2 linked regions of the Caenorhabditis elegans genome follow. The protein of the gene in region 2 interacts with the protein of the main gene of each other region in a pairwise test. Each region holds a gene or a part of one and is shown on either strand. Other genes may lie near its edges.

Region 1 (5,923 bases), on a different chromosome or scaffold from region 2:
CTCAGAAAAATTATAGTTTCTAAATTTTCACAGTTCTGCAGTTTTTCATAATACATATTTATTTTTTTAGCAAAGAATTATAAATACAAGTACTTAAATTACGCAAAAAAATTATTTTGGAAAATATAAGCAATAAAGAAGAAAACAAGTCTTTTACAAGTTACATTATGAAAACTATACATGTCGTAATATAAAGTCATGCGATTTTTCAGAAATTACCAGTAAATTATTCAACAACCAGATTGCTAGAAACTAAGAAAAAAGAACCCCCTGAAGAAGTCGGATTCAACTTTTTAGGCGGCTCTAGAAACTCATCCATAAAATGAGTGTCACTAATGGATATGGGAGTAATGTTTGATGATTTCTTTGGAGGTGGCTCTTTCTTTTCCACTTTATGTACTTTGTCATCTGGCGGTGTCTCTGGTTTCAAATCAGAAGTTGAGTGTGCATCCTCTTCACTGAAACTTTTAGTCTTGATTTTGAGTTTAAATTATTACAGTAAGATACTTAGAAATCAGGCTTTGAGTGTCCGAAGGAGTATGTATTGCTGGTGTTTCAAGTCTATTATTCTCTCTTTCATCTGCAAAAAATACATTGGGTTCTTTTTCTTTTATGACCTTTCACCCACCAATTTTCTCCAGATTTCGGTTTCGCTTCCTTAATTGGTTTTCAAATTCTCCAGGCCAAACGACTTTCGGTTTTTTTGTTGGCTCGGCGTCTACCACATCTAAAATTGAAATATATAAGTTGTAGGGCAAGAGGGTTTGTACTTTGTGACTGGAAAAATTGAACTACATTTTTTTTAAAATCAGCATTCAGTTTCATTAGGTTTATCTTACATAGATAAAGAGCAATTTTAAGCTTCAAATGATTTTTTTCGTGTTTTCTGGCTAAAACCATTGGTTCTCTTTGATTTTTCCATAATATTTGATTAGAAACATTTTTTGTCAATTTTTAAACATTTTTCCGTGAAAGTAAATTGCGGAAAGTTCAAAATTTATCTAAAATCGGCAAGTTAGTCTGAAAACATGTCAAAAATGACGTCGCTGACTTTTACGGGACTACAAATTCACTGTTTCTTTGATTTTCGTAAAATTGAAAAAAAAATCATAAAAAAGATTGACAATCTTTTAAAAGTGATATCTGACATACTAAGATTGTCATTTAGAGCAGAAAAAATTGACTCTAAGCAACATTTCAAAAAAGGATAAAAAGCTATTTTAAACCAAATTTCACGAATTGCCCCCTATTGCGAAATCGCTCGTAAATCTAGAACAAAAATTTTAATTTAGTTCTTGCAATATCTTTTTTGTAAAACAAAATCAATAAATTCTGAAAGTATAATTTAATTTTAAATCTTGAAATTTTTTTCTGAATCTATTAACTACAAAACTTAAAAAAAGGAATTGACAAAAATTTCGTCAGTTGACAAATTTACTAGTAAAGGAAAACTGGCAATTGAGATGTATGTTGTGAAAGTTGGCCCACGGTGTGCAATACTAATAGAGAAAACACGGCATTTCGTAACAATATAAAACATCCAAAATACGTGGAAAAACTAACCATGATCCAAGTATCGCTTTCTAGTCTCGTCATACTTTTCTCGATTTTTTTGTCGCTTCCGTTCTCCCTGTACCCAAACATATCGTTGAAAATCGCCAGCAAGCATTAAAAAAAAGTTTCAAAATCTTCGGGAATAGTTTCAAAAAGTGGTAGACACGTGCGTTTCTAAGGGGATTTTTTGTTTTGGATGACTTGCTAATTTTTTGGCAGGGGGCCACGTTAGCAAACATACATTGGTTGTTGAAAAAAACGGAATTTGTTACCAGATAAATAATAGTTTTGTAGAGAATTGAATACGTCAATTAGTGAAAGTAAGTAGTTAATTTTCCACAAAACCGCAAAGAAGAATTCGTTTATTCTGTAGCTTTTATCACAAAATATAGATTTATTACAGAATTTAAAAATCTTCTTCATCCTCTTCCTCTTTTTTGTCAAATCCTTGCGGGCAACTTGTGCTTTTGGCAAGCATCTGAAATTCAACAGATAATTATCATAGTTTTTAAGTATATAAATACCTCGTTTATATAGTTGGAATCATTTTTATTACTACATAGCTGAAGCATGCAGATTGCTTGATCACGTAGTTGAGGCAGAAGGAAGAAATCTGCTTCCTGTGTCAGCATTGCCAACCTGTCTGGGTCTTTTGGTAGACAGGCTTCCCAAAGCTGTCCAGCTTTCCGGAGACGAAAATAGTTGAGCACGACGCCGAATCTGAAAGAAAGTATTTAAAGATTTATTTTTTTTTTTCAACTACAATATATTATAATTTCCATCGTCCAAATTTCCAAATTACCAAATTACAATCATGAGAATAATTTTAATAAATACCTTTGTGATTCACTTACGAAAATGGGTCTCTATCGACAAAGTACGCGCCATCTCGGTCGCTTGTGAATGGGGACGCCTTTGTTCTTGACACAAACCATTTGTGGAAAATTGAGTCAACTGGGAAAGTCGTCTTCAAGGTTGCCATTGGAGTTCCTCCAACATTGAAGCGAATTATCAGTGTTTCGGACATTCTGAACGAAATTGTGTACATAAAAAATTTGGAATAATAAATTCGTAAAAGATTTAGTTCAAAGAAACAAAAGAAACATGTTAAAGTTTCTGTTCTTGGAAAAGATGTACGAAGAAAGACAATTCTCATGAAATGTTAAGCACAAAATGTCATTGGACATCTCTCAAAGGGCACCACCACTTATTCGAATTGAGCACAAAACAGAGTGGGGGCCCCTCTGCCACCCCACATTTGAGATTCATAAGCCGGTGAGAGAGAAACGAGAACGGGCGAATACATATTTGAGAGAGAAAGAAAAGGTGGTGTGAGCCAGCAGCGTACATGCAAATACGTATGAGCTCTGCGTATTACTTGCTCAAATGTGAAACGTTAATGTCAGCAATGATAAAATAATTGAAAGCTATTTTCAAACAATCACTATTCAAAAAGTTAAAGTTTAGATTTTTTTAAATTTTAAATTTTTGAACAGGTGTATTTTTTTGACGAATGTATAATAAGTGAAGAACCTTTAATATAGATTTAATTTTAAAATATGTATAATAGTTCAAATTAGTCATCATAGAACACTTGAAACAGTTTTAGATTTTTTAACATTTCCAGTCAAAGTTTTGATGACTTGCCAAATTTTCTGCGTTGTTTTAGCCGACGGCCGACTACCAAAACATATGATAAATGAAAACTAATTTCACCAACTGTTTAATTACAAAACTGAACATTTCAAAAGTTTTCCCAACAGTTTAACTGCGATATTTGGACATTTTTGAATTATAGGAGCATTTAAAACTATATTAGCATTTTAGCAATATAGGAGCACCTTTAATTATTATCTACAACACTATAAAAGCAATAATTTTTTTTTCAGTATTTCAAGTAATAGAACCTGAACACATATTATATTTCAAAAAACGGATAAAAAATTGGATGAATCCATTTTTATCTATCAAATGCTCATTTGATAAGCTTTAGATACACTCCATATTTCGCAATACTAGCACGTTTTGCACATGCACACTAGAAGAGCAGGTGGTCAAATAGCTCGGTGTATTTTCTCATTTATTATGTATTAATTTTTGGAAACAATTTTCAGGAAACAATACTGGCACAATAAGAACATTTTCACATGCAATCGTTCCCAAACAGAGACCACCGCAAAAAGAAGAGTAAAAAAAAAGGATTTGACGTATCACGGGAAATGAACTAAACTGAACTCAACTACCGCGCCATTTATTTGCTGTCAGACAATGGGAAACGAGAGGAAATGACCCAGAGGTCTTCTTTTTCAATATAAAAAATAACATGGGAAATGGAACTGCCATGTTTAGCTTGATGCTCCACCAATCTTTTGCTCGAATCAGAAAGGCTGTCTCTTTTGGGCATTGAAATTTGATACAAGAGAAATAGAAGAAAGAGTGGAAGAAACACATGTGAAGTCTAAATTCTGTGAATAAGTGCAAAATGGCTGAAGCGCGAGAATGAAATATGGTTGAAAAGAAGGAAGAATGAAAGGCCTGACTGAAGAGGCGCGCATTTCATGCCCAAATTACACCTGACCAGTTTTGTCGATTCTCTGCCCCGCTACTTTTTTTCCATGTTACTATTTTACTGCAGACATGCTATTTTAAAATCATTATTCTTTCACGATTATTAGACTAATATCGAACTTGGATTCGGCAGTTAAAACTACTGTTACTTGCATGAATTTTATAAATTGGGATATTTTTTGTAACGTGTTCTTTGAACGAGGTATGTATTACGATTTCTAGCATATGCTGAAAAATTAAAAGTTAGATAAGTTGTTTACTAAACCATGAAATCTTAGGTAGTTTTTTTTGCAAGGCAATCAAAAGCATTTTTGCTGAAGACCATTTCAAATTTACGAATTAAAAAGTTTAAGGCATTTGTTGAATTGGTGTAGCCTACCTGAAATTGACTGATATTTCAGCAAATTTTGAACTTCACCTTTCAGGTATTCGGTATTTATAAATTTTTAGAGGCATTTATGTGTTTTTAATTTTACAGAATCTATGAAAATATTGTTTTTGGAAATCAAATTTCTGGCAATCGACGATTTTGGCAATTGTTGTGGGCCTGCTTCAAAGTTACAAATTTTTTACTGCAAAACATATTTAATATATTATTTTTGCGAGATTTCAAAAACTGTAGCATCAAAATTGAAAGTAACACTGCGCGCAAAGTTTTTCTCAATTTGGTAAGTCACAAATTCAGGTTAAAAAAAAGAAACACAATTTTTCCTTGTTGAATCTCCACTGTTCGTTTATAATTTTTCGGCATGCAGAATTGAAAAAAAAATTCCGCACGTGTCTCTAAAGTCAACTGTGGTGCTGCGGTGTTTAATTCACTCATAACAAAGGTAGGGACTCCCTCGAAGAACTGTATGGCTTCATCGAATTTGTCACTAACTTTCTGTTCTTTGAAAAAATAGCTCAATAGATTCGTAAACCACCAGCGTGATTTTTTTAATATCTATAACGTTTGGAAAATACTTCAAAAAATTTTTAAAGGTTCTTCAAACTTTGCAAATATTAGTTATCGAAAATGGCGTTTCAAACTACACTAGAGAAAACTTTCACTTTATAAAAGTTAGATTTAACATACGAATTATTAGTTGTAAAACTCTTTTTTTTATCCACCTCATTTCTAATAATTTCAATTTGTTATACATTGAAATTAAGGATGAAGAATTTATTGAACAAGTCTTGAAAACCAAAAGTTCTTTATAAAATTAATATTTGGCATATTTAAAATTTTCCAAATATTTACAACATAGACCATTAACTACATAAACACAGGGAAACCAGTTCAGTAATACTATCCATCATGATAAATAATTTTTAGATCGTTAAAACATGAGATTTAAAAACGAGAAGGATAATATACAGGGAATGAGAACAAAGCTTTTTCAGGTTGAAAAAAAAACCGGTAGAAATCAGTCCATAAGAACACATTGTCTAATGAAATTTACAGCAGAACGGATTCCTGAAATTAGAAAATTAATTTTTTGGGAGGTGTAATGGTTCTGGTTTTTTGAACGTAAAGACCCAACAAGTGCTCAACTAAACAGATCTCATAATTAAATTTCCCAAAAAATTCTCATAATGGAATTGATATTTCCGGCAAATCGGCAAATCCGCATCTTGCCGGAATTGAAAATTTCCGACAAATCGGCAAACCGGCAAAATGTTGATTTGCCGAAAACGGCAATTGCTGAAAAATTTTGGCAAATTGTGGTTTTTCGCTTTTTCTAAAGATATTTCAGAATTCCAATTCCAATCAGCAACTCATACATTTTCCTACATCTATTTTGAAAAGTAAGCAAAATTT
Region 2 (9,991 bases):
CTTGCCTTTGGAGCAAAAGGTCACGGTTCGACCCCCCAGAATGGCTATTAGGTTTTTTACACTGAATATGTTAAATTTCCCATAAAAAATTATCGAATAAAACCTCGAATTTCAGGTAGCCCGACATGAAGCCGAGGAGCTCGCACACCGACTCTCAATACCATATTTGGAGTGCTCGGCAAAAATTCGAAAAAATGTTGATGAAGCGTTTTTTGATATTGTGAGATTAGTCAGGTAAGAAATTTGAAAAAAATTAATTAAAAATCCCCAACTGGGGCTAGCGGGCTCGAACCCGCGACCCTTTGTCTCAAACCCCATCCTCTTACCGACTGAGCCATGCTCGAGTTTCAGATGAAACTTTTGCGTGCGTGGCTCAGTGGGTAAGAGGTTTGGCTGCTAAGCAGAAGGTCACAGGTTCGAGTTCTCGAGGTCGTTTATAGGTTTATAGGTTTTTCAACGCGCTGAGTTTGAATTTCATACTTAAAATCTCGAAATTTCAGAAAATACCAACATGACGAGCGCATGCCCATCCACCCCCATGACGATCGGAAGCTCGAATCACCGATCAAGCTGAAGAAGAAAAAGAATTGCAGGATTCAATAAACTCCAGAAACTCAATTAATCTATTCCAGTCCGATACGACATTCAACATTGGAAGATACTTCAAAAACCTTCAAAAAATGTGAATAGTCGAACCGGAGAGTCAATCCTTCATGACTTTCATACGATATACTGCACCCTCTTCTGAAAATTTTTAACTTGCTGCCTTTAAACTCCTTCTCTCCACTTCAAAACGGGATTTCTTTGGTTTTCTATTGCTTTTAAAATGTTTTTTTTTCCTCTGATTCTAGCCCCTTCTTGTACAGTTCCAACAAAATATTTATTCCATATCCTACCACCCTACCCGTTGTGCCCGTTATCCCGAGTACAAATCTCTCTCAAATTTCGACCAAAAATCTGATATGCGCTCTACTGATAGCCCTGTGAACCCATTTTCTTTTAGAGTAATAAAAAACGTGAGAATATTTATTTTTGTTCGACGACTGGTTGGGCGATTGCCTTGACGACTTGGACGGCTTCACGGGATGATGGTGAAGCTTGTACGGCCGAGTCTTTGAGCACCTTCTCGCGACTTGCACTTCTCGATCGAGATTTTCCGATCTGAAAATGTTTACTTCAGTTCAAGGACTCGAACCAGTGGCCTTCTGTTTGCAAGTCAAGCTCGTTACCCACTGAGCCATGCCGACAATTTTTTGCGGTGCTGTGCGGCCAGTGGCTCAGCCGGTAAGAGGCTCAGCTTTAAGGGAAAAGATCACAGGTTCGATTCCTGACGTCGGTGGAGGTCGGTGGACTTGAACCAGTGGCCTCCTGCTTGCCAGTCAAGCCTGTTACCCACTGAGCCACGTGTGCTCAGCCGGTAAGAGATTTTTTAATTAAAAATCTCACATTTTTCATTGCATTCACAGCGTTCTTTAACATTTTTGTGTATCGTTCGCTTTGTGGAAACCAGAAATGAATATTTTTTAACTTTTCATATACAAAATGTCATTAACATTTAAAAAACTCGAAAAACATTTAATCATGAGGGCAAACGTGAACAGAAAAAATAAGGGTAAAACGGGTATTATGACAAAAATCGATTGATTATAGAATATAAAACATGTCTCTGTGAGTATCAAAGGGGAATTTAATAGTTAAAGAAATTGCAATCAACTTACAAAAAATTAAAATTATTAAAAATTAGAAAACTGCTGAAAGTTTTCTATCATCTAAGTAGGTCCAAATTAGGTAACGAGGAATGGGTAAAGCGGTAGGAGTCAATATGCAAGAGCTTGAAATGTCAGAAAAAACAACAAAAATATTAATTTTAACATTAAAATTAACATAAAAAAATTAACAGAGTTAACGCTGCTGAGCCTTCCAGGCAGCCAACTCCTCATGGAACTTTCTCAAATCAGCTTGATACTTTTCCGTACGATAATGGTTGAGCACCTCAGTCCCATAGATCTTCATCTTCTTATAATGACCATATGGAATTGGTACCTCTTTTCGAAAATCATCGTCCAACACAAGACAGGCCAGCGTTTCTCCGTCAAACTCCTCGCGAACCATAATTGCAATAGTGGAATCCACGTTGTTGGTGATGAGAAGCCGAACCCAGTTGATGAGATCTTGCGCCTGAAGCATAATTGTTTTAGAATGTGTTAAGTCGAAATCCAGAGCCTAAGCCTGAGCCTAAGCCTGAACCTATGCTTAAACCTGAGCCTAAGCCTAAGCCTAAGCCTAAGCTTAAGCCTAAACCTAAGCCTAAGCCTAATGCTGAGCCTAAGCCTAGGTCTAAGCCTGAGCCTAAGTCTAAACCTGAGCTTAAGCCTGAGCCAAAGTCTAAGCCAAAACCTAAACCTGAGCTTAAGCCTAAGCCAAAAGTCTAAGCCTACGCTTAAGCCTCAGGCTAAGCCTGAGACTAAGCCTGAACCTATGCTTAAACCAGAGCCTAAACCTGAGAGAGAGAGAGAGCCTAAGGCTAACCTATGCCTAATACTAAGCCTAAGCCTAAGCCTAGATCTGAACCTGAACTTGAGCCTGAGCCTATGCTTAAGCTGAAACCTAAGCCCAAACCAGAGCCTAAGCCTACGCCTAAGCCTAAGCCTACACCTAAGCCTAAGCCTAAGCCTGAGCCTTAAAAAACTTACGTTCCACCTTGTGTAGTCTGATGTCTTGTTGGGCGGCAAAATGAGCGTAGCTTCGTGGTTGTTCTGAAGAAAATTGTAATTAAAAATTAGTCGTCATATTCTGAAAATGGTTACCTCGACAAGTGTAGGCATCGCAGGTGGAACTGGCTCCGTTGACTGTGGATCCCTGACGATTGGAGCTGGAGCTGAAGCCAATTCGACTTTAACCACCGGAACAGTCTGCTGAACTGGAGGCTCTTCTGGCTGGGATGCTGGTGGAGCCTGAGGAGCTGTGAGACGTCTCAGCGGTTGTGGCGGGATCCGATTGATGTGCGGGACCTGCTGAATGATGTTTGGATGGCGACCGGCTGTCGGTGCTGCTGTGGAGATCACCTGCTCTTGCTGCAGAACTGGCGGAGTTTCAGACTCTGGTGGGGATCCGGTAAGCGAGAAAATCATCGCCCGGATCTTTCGTGGGGAATCCCGAGAGTCGGATGAAGCTGGAGTGGCTGGGGTAGCTGGAGCATCCGGTGGGGAGCTGGAGGTGGATGGTGGGGCTTCTTTGGTTGTGGCAGTAGCTGGAACTTCTGGAGCTGCCTCGGATCTTTTTGGGATTTTCTCGGCTGGCTCGTCGACCGGCTCTTTCTTTGGCTCCACGAGCTTCCCCGATCCTCCAGATGTCCTCTTCTGACCTCTTCTCGATCCTCGTCTATTGCCACCACCTCTACCTCCACGTGCATTTCTTGGAGTAGATGTGCTCGCGTCGTTATCCACCTCCATCTCAACCTCCTGCTCCTCAGCGGCGTCCGAATCTTCAGGCTTCTTCTTCTCGGCGGCTCGCCTTGGCAGAGACTTTCTCGGTTGAGCAGCAGGTGTCTCTGGTAGGGGTGCAGCAGGACGACGGCGTGATTCGGGCCACATGTGGCCGAGTTCGCCGACTCGGCCACCATCCTTGGGTCCCAAGTCCATGCTCATAAGACGGTCCATTTCGGTTGTGCGGATTTTCTGAAACTTTGAGAAAAAATTTTAATTTGTTCACGAACCTTTTTTTTAGAACCTTTTTTCAATTTTTAGAGCAAATTTCAGCTTTGAAAGTTTATATCTCAATTGGTTTTTGTCTTATAAAAATTTTGAAAACTGCAAAAATGTTTAGAATTAATTTTTCTATAATTTAAAATAAAAAATAAATAGAAAATATGCATTAGAGATTCAGTTACGAGTTGCCAAAGTAAAGCTTATAAATTGCTCCAATTTAAGTTATCAACAAATACTCAACTACGAAATTGTAAAAAAATGCGGTAATTATTTTGTTAGTTAAGAATTTTTCGAAAAAACAAAAACCGTCCGAGATACGAGCCTTCAAAAAGCTTACCTTTTTTTTCTCGCTAGTCGGTCTGGACGCTTCTCCTTCTTTAGATGTATCCATCTCGGTAGCCGCCGACACATTTGACAGATCCACAGCCGACTCTTGAGGCATCTCTGTGGCAATTGATGTGTCCATAACTTCTGCTGCCGGAGCTGCTTCAGGTGTTGCAGGAGCTGCTGGAGCCGCTGGAGCCATCGGAGCCGCTACTGGAGTCTCTGGAGCCACCTCTGCAGCTGGTGCAGGTCTTCTAGAAGGTGCTCCGCGAGCTGCACCTCTGAAAGCACCACGATAGCCGGGCCGTCCTCCCCTCCGAGCTGCCATTCTGCTCGAGCGAGCCGCGAACTTGTTGGTTCTGAAAACAGTTGATTGATTGTTATCACAGAAAATTGAAACATTGCTAACAAAAATTGATATAACGCGCGACAAAAAACATACACACAAGGTCACACACTGCTGGGAAAACATACATCGTTCCATGTTTACATGAATCTCTGGCACCCTCTCACTCTCCCCCCCTATCACCTTCAAACTTGGCGGCGTCGGTGTGCGAGAAGTTGGCAATAGGGCGCGTTTGTTATCTTGATAAAGTGTAGGGAAATTTAAGCTCAAAAATTTCAAAGACTTTGATCTACGTAGATCTACAAAAAATGCGGGAGAAGAGACGCAGAGTTCTCAACCGATTTTGTATCGTTAAGAACGTGCTGACGTCACATATTTTTGAGCAAAAAATTCCTACATTTTTTGTAGATCAAACCGTAATGAGACCACGGAAAAGACTGATATGATCAAAATCTGGAAGCCAGGCCATATGATAGTTGTGCGAAATATCGCACTTTTTTCCCTTCCGCCATGACTCAGATATTGCTTATTGTCCGTTTCATATTGCAATATTGAGTTTTGTTATCATTAACAATCATCCCACGACATTCTTTAATATCTATTTTTTTTCTTAGTTCAAGAATTCTAAACGCCTGAAAACGGCCTGAAAAACGGCCTGAACGTAGCTTTATGCGTATAAAAAACCACCCACAAATTGGTTAAATGTATGCGCTTTTTGGGCTTTTTGCTTTTGGGAATAATATATTTGCTAATTAATTTTTTGTTCTGAAGCTCTAGTGCCTACCTTTGCAGATTTCTCATAGCTCCTAGATCAATCGGAAGTTCCTGATCCTCATCAGATCCATCATAGAACACCGGCTCGACTTCCCCTTCTTCCATCTCTCGAGAAGCTTGCTCCAAAATGCTCGTCACCCGCTTCTCCACATGATCCGGCTCGTCGGCCATCGGGTCAGCAGTCCTTTGCAATTGCTCATCACGATCGAATATCGTATCATAACGTCCCCGGTTGAGATAGTATTGGAGCTTTGAGCTGACTGGTAGTGGGACAACCTTCTCGTGGAGCATCTCCTCCTCGGCAGTGTTGAGCACTTTGATGATGGAGTTGGTCGGCTCGAACGTTTGGCGGGAGCACACGGCTTTTTCGAATTTATGAGCAAAAATGTCGGCGGACAGGCGTACCGCTTCGTAGAACTGAGATCGGGGGTCTTTGCCCTCTAGCTTTTTGTCGAGTTTTGCATAATATTGAGCTTCTTTTGGTAAGCTGCTTGATGAGCATTGATCTGAAAAATTATTATTTTCACTAATTGTAAGCAAGTTTCAAAAATTGAAGGTCTAGTAGAGCTTTAAAAAACTACAAAATTTTGGTAAATTTCCGAGAAATTCGGAAATTGGGGTTTTTTGAAAATTGGCAATTTGCCAAAACGGAGTTTATATTATAACTTGAGCACCAAAATTGCAATTATTAATTTTTCTATAATATATTTGAAAAATACTCACCTTCCAATGCATTTTCAACTTCGTGCTTTTCCGGTCGAACCACTTGAGATGTCGATCGTCGAGTGGACTGAAAGTTTTAAAACTATTGTAACTTATTGGGACGGTTAGCTATCAAAAAATTGTCAACTAATAAAATGTAGATAAATTTTGGTACTCCAAAGTGTTAGTTAACAATTTTTCCATATCTCTATTTTCCGGCAAGTTAGAGGGTTTTGAAGTTGATAATTACTAAATTTGTTTCTTTTTTTTTAACCCCTATATCTCATTGGAAAATAACTGGGCAACATTTGATAAAATATAAAAAATAGTTTAAAAAAATATTGAGCTGGGTATAAATCATTTGTTTTGTGTAAAAGTAGTGGAGAAACGATTATTTTTATTTTTAAAAATTTGTAAACTATACCTTATCCCTTTCATTTCCCTTCACAGCCTCCGGGGGCTCTACAATTGCAGATGTTGATGACATCTCATTACTGGTCAAGTTTGAACTCATTTCTTTTGAAAAAATTAATTTAAATGTATGTTGCAGTGAAATTCAATAAAACAATCTCCCGCTGAGAGGGGAGCGTCAAGATTCGTGATGGAGCGCGATTGCTCGTATAGTGGGGGGGGGGGGGGGGGGTGTATGGTACTTGGGATTTTGTTTCAAAAATGATTACACAAGGAAAATAAATTTTTAAATAAGTAGAGGTAGATTTTTTACACAAAAAAATCAATAAAATTCTGGAAATGTTTCTTTTCTAAAAAAAAAACTGTCAATTCAACTTTCAGACACTCCAAAAAGTTATGCCCGATCTTCACAATAAAAACTCGTATCTCACAGAAATTCGCAGAAAACTTTTAGATACCGGTAGCCTAAATTTGAAAAGAAAACTAAATTTTAACCAAAATGGTTTTAAAATAAAATTTTAAATACTTTAATTTTCACATTATATTTTCGATCAAAACACTAAAATAATTTTAAAAAAATAAAAAACGAAAACAGCAAACAAAAAAGTGCGAGTGACCAAATCAATCAATGCGAGTCGCAGTGGAGAGTGTGTGATGCGCGCACGCTCACCCCCACTCAAACTCACAGTCACACCTCCCCGACCCTCTTCTTTCACCACAGTGTCTCGTCGACTCGAACGATGATTGGTTTACGGGCGGGGCAATTGGGCAAAAGAGTGAGGAGATGATGGGGAATTGTATGACGACGAAGAATTATGTGGAGAGAGGAAGATTGAAGGGGAATAGTGCAAGAGAAGTTAAGCCCTGATTAGATATAAAAAGAGGATGGCTTATGGATATATGTATATGTATAAGGATTAAAAAAATACATTCCAATTATTTTGTGTATTATATAATTATATGTGTTTATAACAATCATCACCATAACTTATAGCAGATTATTCAATTTTTGGAGGTATAAACCAGGGAAAGGCGGCAATTGCCGTTCGGCAAATATTTCGTCGACAAATTCGGCAAATTGCCGGTTTGCAGATTTGCCGGTAATGTTCAAATCCGGCAATGTGCCGATTTGCCGGAAATTTTTATTTTCAGCAAAGTGCCGGTTTGCAGATTTGCCGGTAATGTTCAAATCCGGCAATTCGCCGATTTGCCGGAAATTTTTATTTTCAGCAAAGTGCCGGTTTGCAGATTTGCCGGAAATATTCAAATCCGGCAATCTGCCGGTTTGCCGGTTTGCCGGATGTTTTCATTTCGGTAAATTGCCGATTTGCCAGAAGTCTTCAATTTCGGCAATTTGCCCATTTGCCGTTTTCCGGTTATCAATTTGTCGGAAATGTTTAGAGGAATTTTATGTAAGACGGAAACCCTTAAAACTGTGCCTTTGTGAAATGTTTTCCCGTTTTCTTTAGATATTTTCATAGAATTGTCTACTTCTAAAAATAGATGTATGAGCATTCCTAGGATGAGTGCAATTTTTCCGATCAAATTTGAAATTTTTAAATTTCCAAAAAAAAATGTGCAAACCCACAATTTGCCGAAAATTTACAGCAAAGTCGGCAAATCGGCAATTAGCCGGTTTGCCGATTTGCCGGAAATTTTCAATTCCGGTAATTTGCCGATCTGCTGATTTGCCGGAAAAAATCTTTCGCGGCCCACCCCTGTATAGATGCCAAGGCTTTTAAAATCACAAGTTTCCGGGGGACACCAGTAACGTAGGAAAAATAATGTTTCATATTCTTTTTTTCATAAACTTTCGATAAAAATAGGGACTTTATAATTTTTCAATTTTTATTTTCAGACGGTTATTTCATGTAAGATTGAAAATATTGTTGAAATTTGCACTCAAAAAACTAAAAATTTTCAATTAAGTTCAAAATATTTATTATCAAAAAATCTCAATTCTTCAACTCCCACGTGTTCTGCAACTGATTAAAATAGAAATCGGTTTCCTGTGCCACATTCTGCCCGGATAACGAAACCGGACGTTGGCTCTTCAGAGCAATGCAATCAACTTTCCGGAAGAACGGGATTGCCTTGCTCCACGGGCTCACTGAGAGTATTAACACTGGGCAGACTATCAGGGGATTGCTGAAATTTTAAGATTTATAAGCAGTTTCCTTTGTTTGGAGGATACTTACAGATGCACCAAATTTTGAAAACAGAAGACGAATAACGTGCTATACGACGGAATCCATTTGTAGTTTATGGCTATAACACAGCAAATTCCTATAATCAGAAGGGAGAAGCCGACAATTATGATTCGAATTGTTAGCTGAAAATTGATTAGTGCAGTTTTTCCTGTTGCTTTGGTAATTTTTTTTAAATACCTTTGTTGGCAAATTACAAAAAAAAATTATTTTTTGACTTTTTTGAAATTCTGAATTTCCTAATACAATTAAATTTTTCTGAAATTCACAACTTTTGCAAAATTGGAAAAAAAACACTTATCAAGTCCCAATTTTTTTTTTGAAAATTATTTTTGAAAATTTAATGTTTGAAGTTTCAAATCGCCCACTAGGTACCCCTATAATTTATTTTTTGTCGAAAATTTTCAAAAGTGTTATTTCGCGCCAAAATATTTTTAAAACCAATTTTGTAATATTTAGAAGTTCACATAATTTTTTTGGAAATTTTTTTCATAGTTTAACATTTTTTTTCGTGATAATTTAAAAAATTGAACTTTCAAAAAAAAAATTATTTAACATTTCTTGCAACAACTATTGTTCACCAATATTTCTACTATTAATTTTTAAAAATTTAGATTTTGCGCAAATAATTTCAAAAACTACTGAAAAAAATTTTCGAATCCCGCACCATCTTTTGAAAAATTTTGCTACAATTTTCTGCGATTTTAGAATTTTTTGCGAATTTTCAAAAATCTCACCTCAAAAGCTCTGACATTCTCTTTTGCCTGAAACCTTGCAGCCAACGTGTAGAGTTCTATGCTTTCTTTGGTATGTTGTTCGAATTTCTTGAGCAAGTTTTTATTATAGCACCAGTTGGATATGAATATCTGAAATATGGATTTGTTTTAGTTTATAAAAATAAAAAATTTAAAATTCAAAAAAATAAAATTACCACAACTGCCAATATAATAAACAAAAAACAAACAATAAACCCTAGGAAAAAGTTGATATGATTGAAAAAACAAAACCAGTGCATCACAAAAATTATCCCATGCTGGAAAATCAATAAAGCGCGGAAAATCCGCCAACGGGAGGTTCGCTCGTAGTCTCTGAAAAAATCAATATTTTGCAACAGAAAAAATGTTTTAAAAACTAGTTTCGGGAAAAATCGGCGGTGATAGCAAAAAGTGTATGCCTATCGACCTGCCTACGCATTTGCGCATGTCAGTGCCTACAGGCCTACCTTCCGCATGTCCAGGTACCTTTTCACCCGCTTGCCTACATTTTTGTGACTAGTCTATGCCTACAGGCCTACCTGCCTCATGTATCTTTTTATCAGCTTGCCTGTCTACGCTTTTCTGACAGTCAATGCCTACAGGCCTACCTGTCTCAACTATCGTTTTACCTGTTTACCTGTCTACGCTTTTGCGCATGTCAGTGCTTACAGGCCTACCTGCCGCATGTATCTTTTTACCTGCCTGCCTGCCTACACTTTTCTGCCAGTCAATGCCTACAGGCCTACCTTCCTCAAGTATCAGTTT

What was found. The genes of interacting proteins can lie anywhere in the genome.
Region 1: the proteins of sop-2 (region 2) and F49H12.3 interact in a two-hybrid assay, tested with the Caenorhabditis elegans proteins (one large-scale study listed by BioGRID).

Annotation. Positions count from the first base shown.
Region 1 is NC_003284.9:2,081,034-2,086,956, reverse strand, and holds F49H12.3 (Potassium channel tetramerization-type BTB domain-containing protein), read right to left. Parts: upstream 2,583-5,923; 5' UTR 2,582-2,582; coding exon 2,409-2,581; intron 2,275-2,408; coding exon 2,079-2,274; intron 2,033-2,078; coding exon 1,961-2,032; 3' UTR 1,900-1,960; downstream 1-1,899. Other genes in the region: F49H12.2 (uncharacterized protein), read right to left, coding at 227-458, 508-580, 629-727, 1,564-1,669; F49H12.4 (uncharacterized protein), read right to left, coding at 5,561-5,578.
Region 2 is NC_003280.10:12,336,322-12,346,312, reverse strand, and holds sop-2 (Polycomb protein sop-2), read right to left. Parts: upstream 6,370-9,991; 5' UTR 6,368-6,369; coding exon 6,278-6,367; intron 5,942-6,277; coding exon 5,875-5,941; intron 5,658-5,874; coding exon 5,162-5,657; intron 4,391-5,161; coding exon 4,045-4,390; intron 3,684-4,044; coding exon 2,808-3,683; intron 2,757-2,807; coding exon 2,694-2,756; intron 2,679-2,693; exon of another isoform or gene 2,625-2,678; intron 2,179-2,624; coding exon 1,903-2,178; 3' UTR 1,518-1,902; downstream 1-1,517. Other genes in the region: ras-1 (R-RAS related), read left to right, coding at 116-234, 501-603; C44C11.6 (Transcriptional regulator), read right to left, coding at 1,027-1,161, 1,447-1,479; sre-52 (Serpentine Receptor, class E (epsilon)), read right to left, coding at 8,220-8,412, 8,463-8,596, 9,209-9,337, 9,403-9,559. UniProt on the Caenorhabditis elegans protein: Polycomb group (PcG) protein. PcG proteins act by forming multiprotein complexes, which are required to maintain the transcriptionally repressive state of homeotic genes throughout development.